2 linked regions of the Coturnix japonica genome follow. The protein of the gene in region 1 purifies or fractionates together with the protein of each later gene. This does not show direct contact. Links are inferred from orthologs where the notes say so. Each region holds a gene or a part of one and is shown on either strand. Other genes may lie near its edges.

Region 1 (4,956 bases):
GTATTTTGTTTACCTCAGGTGCAGGTTTTATCAACAACCCAAATCTTCAGCCTTAAACGCTGCTGCCTGTGACATTTTCCTTCAAAGTCACAGCCCGATTCTTTGAACTGTTTAGTAGCAGCAAAAGCAAACGTCCTTTCTTGGTACATGTGAAGCAATGAGTACCTCGACAGAGCCTCTTTAGTGAGGTGTTCCAAAAGTTCATGGTCATCTCCAAGTTTACAACAGGAAAGATCCAAACAGGTCAGCTCCCGGAAAGACTTGATTTCTTCCAGCTTTTCAGAGATAACCAGGTATCTGTAAGGAACAAAAGAAGCTATCGCTGTTGAGGAGGATAATAAAGGTCCCATGCTCTCAAATACAAGCATAATGCAGTTATTTCTCACATATCTATGCAGAAGTTGACAGAGATCAGCCAGCTGTTGTAACTGCCTTTCAAACACTGTTCTGCCTACAAAGCACCTGAGCTCCCAGCTTCTCCTCCAACGGATAGCACACTTGCTTTGACAGAGTACCAGACTAATGATTAAGACTTCGACTTGCAAGCATCGCTATATATAATTGGGCCCTATATTATATATAGGGGCTTATTTACAGACCATTGCTCGCTGGACTCCAACCAGAGCTGTGGCTGCACCCCAGGCAGCAGTTACACAGCGGGTTATTTTCTTTGGCTGTGTTGGTTCTCTGATCCGATTCACTCTGCAGCCACGCAAGCATCTGTGCCGGAACTATTCAGCAGGAGATTTAGAGATGGGAATGCGCTGTAATATCACCTACCTCCATCTCCCCTGTGTTTATGGCAAGACAATCCCTCAACTCACTAATATCTCCTGAATTTACCTCTTCGCCCCCATGGCAAAGCAATCCCTGAGGAGAACATTCTCAGCGGTGAAATTAGGGGTGCTTACTATAATCCCTGGAACCTTTTTGCCTATGTGAATAAGAGCATTTTCTCTGTGCTGGTGCCCATACTGAAGCACTCCACCACATCCCTCTGCCACGCAGCTCAGATGGGTGGAAGGCAGTTGGAATACAAGACAGTTCTTGATAGGTAATGCGAGTTTTACTATGAGTGGGCTCTTAGAAATGAGGCTCATAAAACATGTCTTAGCGTCTTACTTCCTGGATTTCAAAGATTTGACATTTAACCGAGCTTGTTTTAATGATAAAATATGCCAGAGGTAATTCCATTTCTGAATGGAGCTCATAAAAGGTACCTGTACTAAAAGAGGGAGTACCTTGAAGGGATAAAACAAGGTAATTGACCTCTGCTCAAACATTCCTGCTGTGCTTGGCACTGCAGATAAACGTGCCTGTCCTTTGAGTTTAAACTGAATAAAGCAGCCCTTTCTGAATGTATAGATGGAAGGCAGACTCATTATATCGCTGCCCAAGACTTCAGCAGGAGCAAAGCTTTAAAAGCAGGCCCAGTTTTCAGCTTGGTGAGGCACTCTAGTAGGAAAAGAAACTGTGGATGTTTGAGATTGAGAGAAAACAAGAGAACCTGAAGCACAGCAGCACAGATGCTGATGTGTCACTGGGTGCTCCTACCTGTTCCGCAGACACAAGGAGCACAGCACCAAGCTGCCATACGCCTCGGTGAACTTCTGCAGGGCTCGCAGTCCCGTCACGGGTTCTGTGAATTTCTGCCTCGCTTCTGCGGCCGAAAAGAGCTTCTCTGCGATCTGCTCCGGGAAACCCACCAGCGAGTCGATGTGGTCAACGTTGTCGGAGATGTAGGCCAGCACCAGGCTGAACAGGGACTTGGCCGAGTAGCGCAGGTTGCCCTCCTTGGTGTAGGTGAAGATGAAGTGCTCGGTCCTCGGCCTCCTGGCCCTGTCGTCCTCCCCGTTCAGACGCAGCTCCACGGAGAACCCAGCGGGGAACAGGCGGACAGGCCGCGCTGTGCGGGCCCCGTTCTGGATGCCGCCCGCACCCGGGCTCACCACGCGCAGCTCCCCACGTTCACGCACGTAGATCGGCCCGGCAGCCGAGTGGAGCCAGTACGACATTCCCCACGTCCAGCACTGCGAAAAGAAGCCAGAGGTGGGTAAAGCTGCCGGGGGCGGGGGCTGGGGAAGGGGCCCGAGAGCGAGCAGGAGCCGGGCCGGGCTGCGGGGGGAGCTGAGCGGGATCCCGACCCCCCGTTACCTGCCCCGGGGCCGCCCCGACACGCCGTCACCCGGCCGGGCCGCTCCGCCCGCTCCCGCCGCCCATCGCGGGGCCGAGCCGGGGGCGGGCAGCGGGGGGCGGCGCCGTTCGGTTGCCGGCCTCCTGTTGGGTTCCGTCCTTTGCTTTCCCAGCTCCATGGTGAGGATGCGGGCCGCTGACTGGTGTCTGAGCGCGGCGGGAGCTGCCCTCGTCATGGCCACATCCAGCGACACGGAGCACCCGGCCCGGAACGTGGCGGACGGGTGAGGGCTGCGGGCCGGGATCGTGGGATGCTGCTCACAGGGCTCATAACCATGAGCTGAATCCGGCCCTGCAGCACAGCAGCCCCGCTGCACACGGCCGTTCGGTTACAGCACCCCACATAGAGCGGCTTTCCACTCTTTATTCTGTTTATTGGTCGTAAGCAATGAGCCGCAGCGGGTGCTTTTGTGCTGTTTTCTCCACAGAAGTTCCGACACGTTCTGGACGACAACAGGGATGTTCCCGCAGGAGTTCATCATTGGATTTCCAAAGCGTGTGACCATCAGCAAAGTGGGCATCCAGTGCTACCTGGGTAAGGGCTCCCATAGCAGCACATGGCTCACGTTGTTTGGGGCACATATCTCTGCTTATATGTACACACTCACAGCACCGTCTTAGTTCTGAATAGTCACATTTAATACACATTAATGCATTAATACATCACAGAACCATTAAGGCTGGAGAAGACCTCTCAGTTTCCCCCTCCATGACCCACTGCCCATGTCCCTCAGTGTCACATCCCCACGTCTCTGAAACACTTCCTATCCCCTACATTAGAGCAGGCGTTAATTATAAGGTACTTTGTAGATGAAACATGATGCAACAAACATAAAGATCCCGTAAACCTCAGCATTTATACTGATACTTTAAATGCATCTGTATTTTAGTGCGGAGCTTGAGGATTGAAAGAAGCGTATCTAAAGACCCAGTAGACTTTAAAGAGTGCGTTGAAAAAGGTAAAGCTCTGAGCATGAAGCGGTGGCACTTGGGCTACATTGCTGTTTGCAGACATAGAATGCTGCATGAGGGTTACAGGCCCTTCAACCTGGTGAATTTCTCCCAGCACTGCACCCTGTTCCTTATTATTTGCTGAAAACAAACCCATGTTTTCTAGATTTGCAGCACACGGAAGGACAGCTTCAAATGGAAGAATTTCCTGTGAGTATACACGGGATACACCGTCATGGGGTGGGATGTCTAAACTAACTGGGTGGAAGCTATGAGAAAGACACGATTATTGCCAAGCTGACATTAGATGTATTGCCCTTTGCTGCTGCTTCTCTGTTGATGATGGTGTGAAATGGCACCTCAAGTTACTAAAAGAACTGAACTTACCTCTCATTTGGAAACAAACATCTCTATCTTTGTCATGAGCTTCTGTAAGTAGTTTGATAGTTACGTTACTACCAAGAATGAGCTAACGTTATTTCTCCTTTTCTTTACAGCTTCCTGATTTTCAGGCCACTTATTTGCGATTCATCATCAAATCCGCCTTCGATCATTTTGTGTCGGTGCACAGGGTGATGGCAGAGGGCACAGCAGAAGACACTTAAGTCTGGCTTAAATTTGTACCTCTTCTTTTTGGTATTATATTTTCGTATCTCTATCATAAGAAATATTTATTACAAACTGTGTTTAGGTCAGACTTTGTTAATACATGAATTAAAGCTCAGTTTCCTGTGAGATGTTTCCCTTACACTCTGAGTAGAAAAGGTGTGAAATACTTAAATGAGAGGTATTACTTCTTACTGTCAAAGAAGCTCTTCAGAAGTTCTTATACTGGAAATTTGCTCATTAACTCAAAATAAACTGTTTAATAGGATGAATGTAAGCTACTAATGCTTGCAAATAACCAGAGGGGAACAGAAACCAAGCGAGAGCTGTGCTGCTCTGAGAGGTTTGTTTGTTTATTTGTTCGAGTAACGGCAGATCAATCCTTTGTTTCTAAAAATATTTTCTGAAATCAGGTCACAGCTGTCAGTGCTTTATGCTGTGACTGTCATAACAAATATTATAGAAACAAATGTCCAGAGATTGTGTCATTCAGAAGCCTTCTGAGGTGAGAGAAACTGAACGTTTAGGAACATGGTTTGTATGCGAGAGAGACAGAGAAACTTAATGATGTGAAATCAGTTGTTTTGCCTGAAATTGGCTCTTGCAAATGTCACCACCACGAAGGTTGAACCTGCACCGTATTCTTAAAGAATGTAGATGTTGGTGTCCAGTCATAACAGCTGACTGACAACAGAGCTGAACATCTCCAGACACATGAATGGTGAACCACGATACGGATGCTCTCTAAATGCACATGCGTTGTTCTCTTTCTAGTTGTTTCTTGGATTTTGAGATTTTAGTGTTTTGTTTTGTTTTTTTTTAACTCTCAGGTCTGTGAAAGCTTTATCCCTTGACCTTCTGTATCCATATAGTCTTCACTCTGATGTCCTCTTTCTATTTCAGTTTTTCCAAGACGGTGCGTATTTCCTGGGGGTGGTAATTCCAAGGCCCCACTCCTCCCTGCAAAGGCAATAAAATTATACAGTGAAGCTCAAATATACAGAGCAGAAGCCTTTAGAGCACAGTGGTTAAATCAGAGCGGTGGGTGGGTTTCCTTTGCTCGGCAGCCGTTGCACAGGAGATGGTGTGTGCACAAGTCACACCCTGCTGTGTAACTGGGACAGGGCCCATGTCTGGCTCCTGGAGCAGGGGAGTGTGCCTGGATCTTGCATTTAGATGTAGCTAGGTTTTCTAATAAGCCACAGG
Region 2 (5,456 bases), on another chromosome or scaffold:
GTATGGAGGCAGTGCTGCTACTTTGAGCAGGCAGTGACACAAGATCAGAGGAAGATGAATGCATCCACAGCACAAATTAAGAGCCCAGACTGTCATCAGGCAAGGAAGATTCTCCTGAATAGATGCTTCTTCCAAAGGGTAATTCAGAATACCTCAACCAGAAGCCTAAGATTAGACAGCATGACAAAACCATGATGGCTTCGTACGTTAATTCCCATGGAGTTGAAGCTCTTTTTATGAATGCTTTATCTGAAATAATTTTGCTTAATTCATTTTTCCCCCCAAGGAAAAACTGAAGCTTTCCTCTGCTATGGGAGAGAAGACCCTCTGAAGGGCTCCCCTGCTAACACAGTGAACATCTGTGGGTTCTTTCCTCTCAAACACTATTCTTATAGGGGATCTCCTTCTGATAAACCAGCAGGTCATGGCAAACAATCCTGTGTACCACATCTTTAGAAATAGTGCTGTTTGGAACAGATCAGTTTGGTCTGCCTCAACGCAAGCAAGTTAACACCACGTTATCCAATGTACCAAGGTCACCAAGATCCATCGGATGATCTGCTTGATCCTAATCATACCAAAAAGAAGGGGAAAAAAAAGGAAAAAATAATATTGGATTCTATACAGAAATCTGAGTGCTCCAAGCTGGAAGCTGTAGACCCGGCCACTCACAGCCCACCCACCTACAGATCAAGATGGACTGGAACAACCTCCTCCATGAGCCAGAAAAGCGATGGGGGCTGGGAGGTGGGAGGAAGAGTTTCATATTTCATCTACCACTTCTAATAGAAAACAGAACGTGGTGGAGGGTTGAAAGGAAAATGGCAAATCCCTGGAGATGCTGAGTGTTGGCCTCTCAAGTCAAAGCTGTCAATCACACCAAGTCCCCTCCAACTCGTACTTCTTGAAGGGAGGGAACAAAAGAAGGCAATGGACTGGCACGTTTAGCCACTAGGTGTTACTGTTGCTCCACAGAAACTCAGAGTAACAAAAGCGACATCTATTAGAGGCATCCTAAACAGTTTTAGCTTAAGAGTTAAAACCACCGGAGCTAAATCTCCTCTCTAGATTCACATACTATGAACCAGAAAATAAGAGTATTGGGATGTGTTGACTTGGAGGGGCCTCTGACTTGGAGACTCTTATCTGCAATTCAAGCAGCAAGCACCACATGTCATGATAGAGCAATCACTGCATCTCTGTTTGAATTCCCACAGACATTTCCAGTGCTAAGAATCATTTTACTAACATATTATTAATAGCCTGCAATTGCTTTGGAAGGAAGAAGGAGGATCTGTCCGCACAGAATCATCTGGAGATCATTTTTGCTTGCTACCAAAACGTTATGGTGAAAAAGCAGCCATATCATAAATGCAAAACATACAGACCATTACCAGGACAGCCTGGAAGCAGTTCAATTACAGATTGAGTTTTCAGCCGATGGATCAGTAACTAACGGAACTTTAACTCCTAAGGCAGATGCTGATTGTAACATCAACATCAAGATGCTTTGAAAACATCACCCTAAGCGGACAGGCAGCTTAATTCCTACTTTCTAAAGCGACCTGAAGCCCTAAAGCACATGAATAGATCTGAAAATCACACCTGTGCTCTCCTTGTTCAGTGGCTGATACAAACACAGGAGGATGTGATCTGATACTTCATCTACAAATCAATCCCTATTGCATTCTGGGCAGCTGCACCAGCAGCCAGCTTTACCCATTTTTAGTCCATTATTTCCTTCTAATTTGCTGCCCACAATCCAGCCCTTTAGATCACATTTCCCTCCATGTACCTGTGGATGTGCCAGCTAATAGAACTGCCTTGATCACTTCCCTCTGGGTCACCCATCCCATTTATTGGGTCTGAAACACGAGAAATACCGCAGCAGCACAGAGCATTAAGGACAGGCTGCCCCATGCACTGTGAATTCAGCCTGACTCACACACGTACCCCCACAAACCAATAACACACAGACAGAACCAGCTCCCAGCCGAGAGCAGAGCAGCCCTGACTCACATTTAGAACCCGTAATAAACATTTATGTTATGGGAACACTTAAATGCAATGTTTGAAAGCTCGTCTGATAGCAGGGCTGTACGTGGGCACCAAACAGCTCCGGAGCGGCACAGCTGTGTGCCAGATGGCAGCTCGGGGCTGCTTTGTTTGATTTAGCTGCCATTTAAAGCACGTTTACAGGGTTCACAGACCACCCGCTCCCCCCTCAACTATTACAACCGCAACACAACAGCGGCAACGCTGAACTGCCCTCATCACCCCGGCCGGCCCTACTTTATACCCAGCCCTTCCACCACGTGACGGCAGCACAGCCAATCGCAGCGCACCCTCCCTCTCCCCCTTCTCTCCCTCCCGTTGCTAGGCCACGCGTGGGCGGCCGCCATGTTGAAGGCCAAGGTGTTGCTGGTGGGGCCCTGCGAGGTGAGGGAGAGCCCTGAGGCCGCTGCTTGTCCTTAGGGCTGCATGTAACCCTTGGGTATCCTCATCGGGGACTGAGACTGACCCTAAAGGGCTGCACTTCCCAGGCGGGGCCTCAGTGGGACGGGGCAGAGGGGCAGGACTGTATGCAGTTATCTCAATGGAGGGCAGGGTGTTGGGAGCAACCCTGTGTTATTCCATTCGTTGTGGCTTTGGTGCATTGAATTCATACGGTTGTCTTTTTATTTTCTTGCATGTATCAGTCTGGAAAATCCGTGTTGGCAAATTTTGTTTCAGAGAGCATAGAGGGAATTGGCAGCTATGTCCCGACACAAGGAGTAAGGTGAGAACAACAGTGTAGAATGAACCGACCTGCAGGAGGTGGTGGATAATATCATGTACCTGCTTGTGTTCACAGGATCCTGGAGTATGAGAAGCCGAACTTAAATGGGAACAGCAAAGGAGCTGGGTGTCGATTTGAGCTGTGGGACTGCAGCGGTGATCAGAAGTAAGCAGGCATTGCTGTTACTTCCTCTGGGTTATTCAGTTCATATTAATCATGTATACACAACGTTCTCATGCATAAGACCCTGAAAGCAATGATCTTTTGGAGATGAGGAATATTCCCACCTCTTCACTCCTGTATGAATATGTATTGCTTTCTATTGTAAAGCATTTAATACTGGGTAACCCTCTCTGTGATGCCAGCTGACTGTGTTAGTTTTGATTAAGGACTGAATGTAACAAGTCCATGGTTCTCAAAATGAAATCAGAGGCAAAGCAGAGGCCCTGCCTTTATCTGTTTGAAATTATTTCATGAATGGATTTCAAATAATGTATTTATATGATGGAGGCCTTTAATTTCCCGGGATTACAGTTCTGAACTGGACAGATTAGTTTTTAGGAATAAGTAAGAAGGTTTATTTGGAATATCATAGATATTGGCGAGATCACTAACATTATTTTCACAAAAAGCTACTGAAATCATAAAGTCATAGAATTGTATGAGTTTGAAGGGACCTTTAATGGCCATCTGTGAACAGGGACACCCACAGCTCCATCATGTGCTCAGAGCTCCATCCAGCCTGACCTTGAGTGTCTTCAGGGATGGAGCATCCACCAAGGTACATTGTTGAGGTGGGGAGAAGAAAACTTTGCCAAGTTTGACTGCATGTTTCCATTTTCCAGCTATCAGTCTTACCATTTTCCATGCTCCTCTTTTTCAAGGTTTGAAACATGCTGGCCAGCTCTTATGAAGGATTCTCATGGCGTAATAATAATCTTCAATCCTGAGCAGCCCAGTCACCTGAAAGAAATCGAAATGTGGTACTCGTGTTTCGTGCAGCAGCAGCCACTGCTCGATAGCCAGTGTCTCCTCGTTGCACATCACAAGCCAGGCAGTGCAGAGGACACAGAAAATCTGTCCTTAGGTGAGAATACAGAATGTTGCTCAGAGTTTTCAAACAAGTTCTTATTATAAGTATTAATATATTAATACATATTTAACATAACACCACTCTAATTTTGATATAATTCAAAACTCTTAGCAATTCAGTAGTAAAATGCAATTCAGTGCTGAATTATTCAGTTATGCCTAATTGAATGTGAGACCAATGCCAATACTTTGAGTCTTAATTATAACATTTGAGGAATTTAAACTAGCAGCAAGTTCTTGTTTGTCAAGCTATGCTGCATTTCGTTTTCACATTATATGTCATTTGGGGTATGAGACATCAGATACTACTGAATTCCAGCTGATGTCTTCAGCAAGAACTGTCCCATGACATTCATCATGAGTGCTGCATTTAGGAACATGCCTAACTATTTTTTTCTTGCATTCAAAGCTTACCCATTGAACAAGCTGAAACTGATACATTCCAACTTAGAAGAAGATCCTGAAGATGTTCGGATGGAATTTATGAAATACTTCAGAAGCATTATAAATGTATTAAATGAGAGCAGAGAGAAGGAAGAAATGTCAATTATTTCATAACACTAGAAGAAAATAAAGAGAAAGGATTGTTTTAACTTTGTAAGCCGTGCTAGCAACATCCTTTGCAACTTTTTGACTCTGGCAAGTCAAAGTTGCAGCCTTTCTCATGACAGCTTTTCCTCTACTGCAACAAACTCACCCTCGTTGGGGACAAGATATGGGTCATGTTGAGTAAGAAGGAATCAAAACCTCAGTGCAGTGCAATTACTTTGGCCTATTCCTGGAGCTCCAATAAGCTGGAAAATAAGTGCTGCATTTTTCAGAGGAGGAAAAGCTGCTTCAAACTTGGATTACTGTTCCCTGTTGTACTGAAATAAGTGGTTTCATAGTTGATTTACTTTCTGTTTTGTTTGGTTTACATTCATCCCTGTTCTTACTGTATTCTGCTGTGGAAGGCATTTTTTGTAATGTAATACTAAGGCAATAAAATTGTCTTTATAATAAAATTGCATCTTTTTTTGCCCTCAAAGGGAAAGTGAATTACATTCTTGTATGTCTTATCAACTTCCTTAATTATTAGTGAGGAAAGCTGTGATAAATTTGTAGTATGTTTCACGCTAATTAGATCCAACGAGAGAAGTTTGCAAAAACTATGGACTCAGATAGCCAAAGAAATGATGAATGAAAACCAGAGGAATATATCTATACTGACACTTTTCTTTTTAACCAGGGGACAATTTACAGTAGAGAGGACCAGGGCAGCATCCCATCTTACCTTGTTCTGCAGCTTGCTTTGTGAAGTGTTCCATCAGTGGCTTATGAGAACCACATCTGACTCACAGCACTACATCTTGCAGATTATTTCATTTCATGTTCCATGCCACACAGCTATGGTTGAGCTGCAGCTGTTTTATAGATATAATATAAACAGCCTTGTCCTCTAATACTGTATTTTAGTTAATATCTTTTATAGAAAGAATATTAAAAAAAAAAAAAAAAAAAAAGAAAAAGAAAAAGAACCATTTAATATATTTTAGTTGAAGACAACAAAATTGAGTGCTTGGGTTTTTCAGTCATCTGGGTTAAT

What was found.
Region 2: the proteins of HSPB11 (region 1) and IFT22 purify together in Homo sapiens (affinity purification with mass spectrometry; 3 studies listed by BioGRID and IntAct, with this or other methods). This does not show direct contact. The link is inferred for Coturnix japonica from reciprocal best matches to the Homo sapiens genes IFT25 and IFT22.

The regions. Positions count from the first base shown.
Region 1 is NC_029523.1:22,426,316-22,431,271, reverse strand, and holds HSPB11 (intraflagellar transport protein 25 homolog), read left to right. Parts: upstream 1-2,015; 5' UTR 2,016-2,049; intron 2,050-2,154; exon of another isoform or gene 2,155-2,211; intron 2,212-2,306; 5' UTR 2,307-2,310; coding exon 2,311-2,417; intron 2,418-2,621; coding exon 2,622-2,728; intron 2,729-3,083; coding exon 3,084-3,152; intron 3,153-3,310; coding exon 3,311-3,354; intron 3,355-3,641; coding exon 3,642-3,749; 3' UTR 3,750-3,892; downstream 3,893-4,956. Other genes in the region: LRRC42 (leucine-rich repeat-containing protein 42), read right to left, coding at 166-297, 1,555-2,015. UniProt on the Homo sapiens protein: Component of the IFT complex B required for sonic hedgehog/SHH signaling.
Region 2 is NC_029534.1:2,514,124-2,519,579, reverse strand, and holds IFT22 (intraflagellar transport protein 22 homolog), read left to right. Parts: upstream 1-2,339; 5' UTR 2,340-2,400; coding exon 2,401-2,439; intron 2,440-2,693; exon of another isoform or gene 2,694-2,699; coding exon 2,700-2,779; intron 2,780-2,854; coding exon 2,855-2,944; intron 2,945-3,268; exon of another isoform or gene 3,269-3,479; coding exon of another isoform or gene 3,480-3,573; exon of another isoform or gene 3,574-3,663; coding exon 3,664-3,866; intron 3,867-4,280; coding exon 4,281-4,429; 3' UTR 4,430-4,912; downstream 4,913-5,456. UniProt on the Homo sapiens protein: Small GTPase-like component of the intraflagellar transport (IFT) complex B.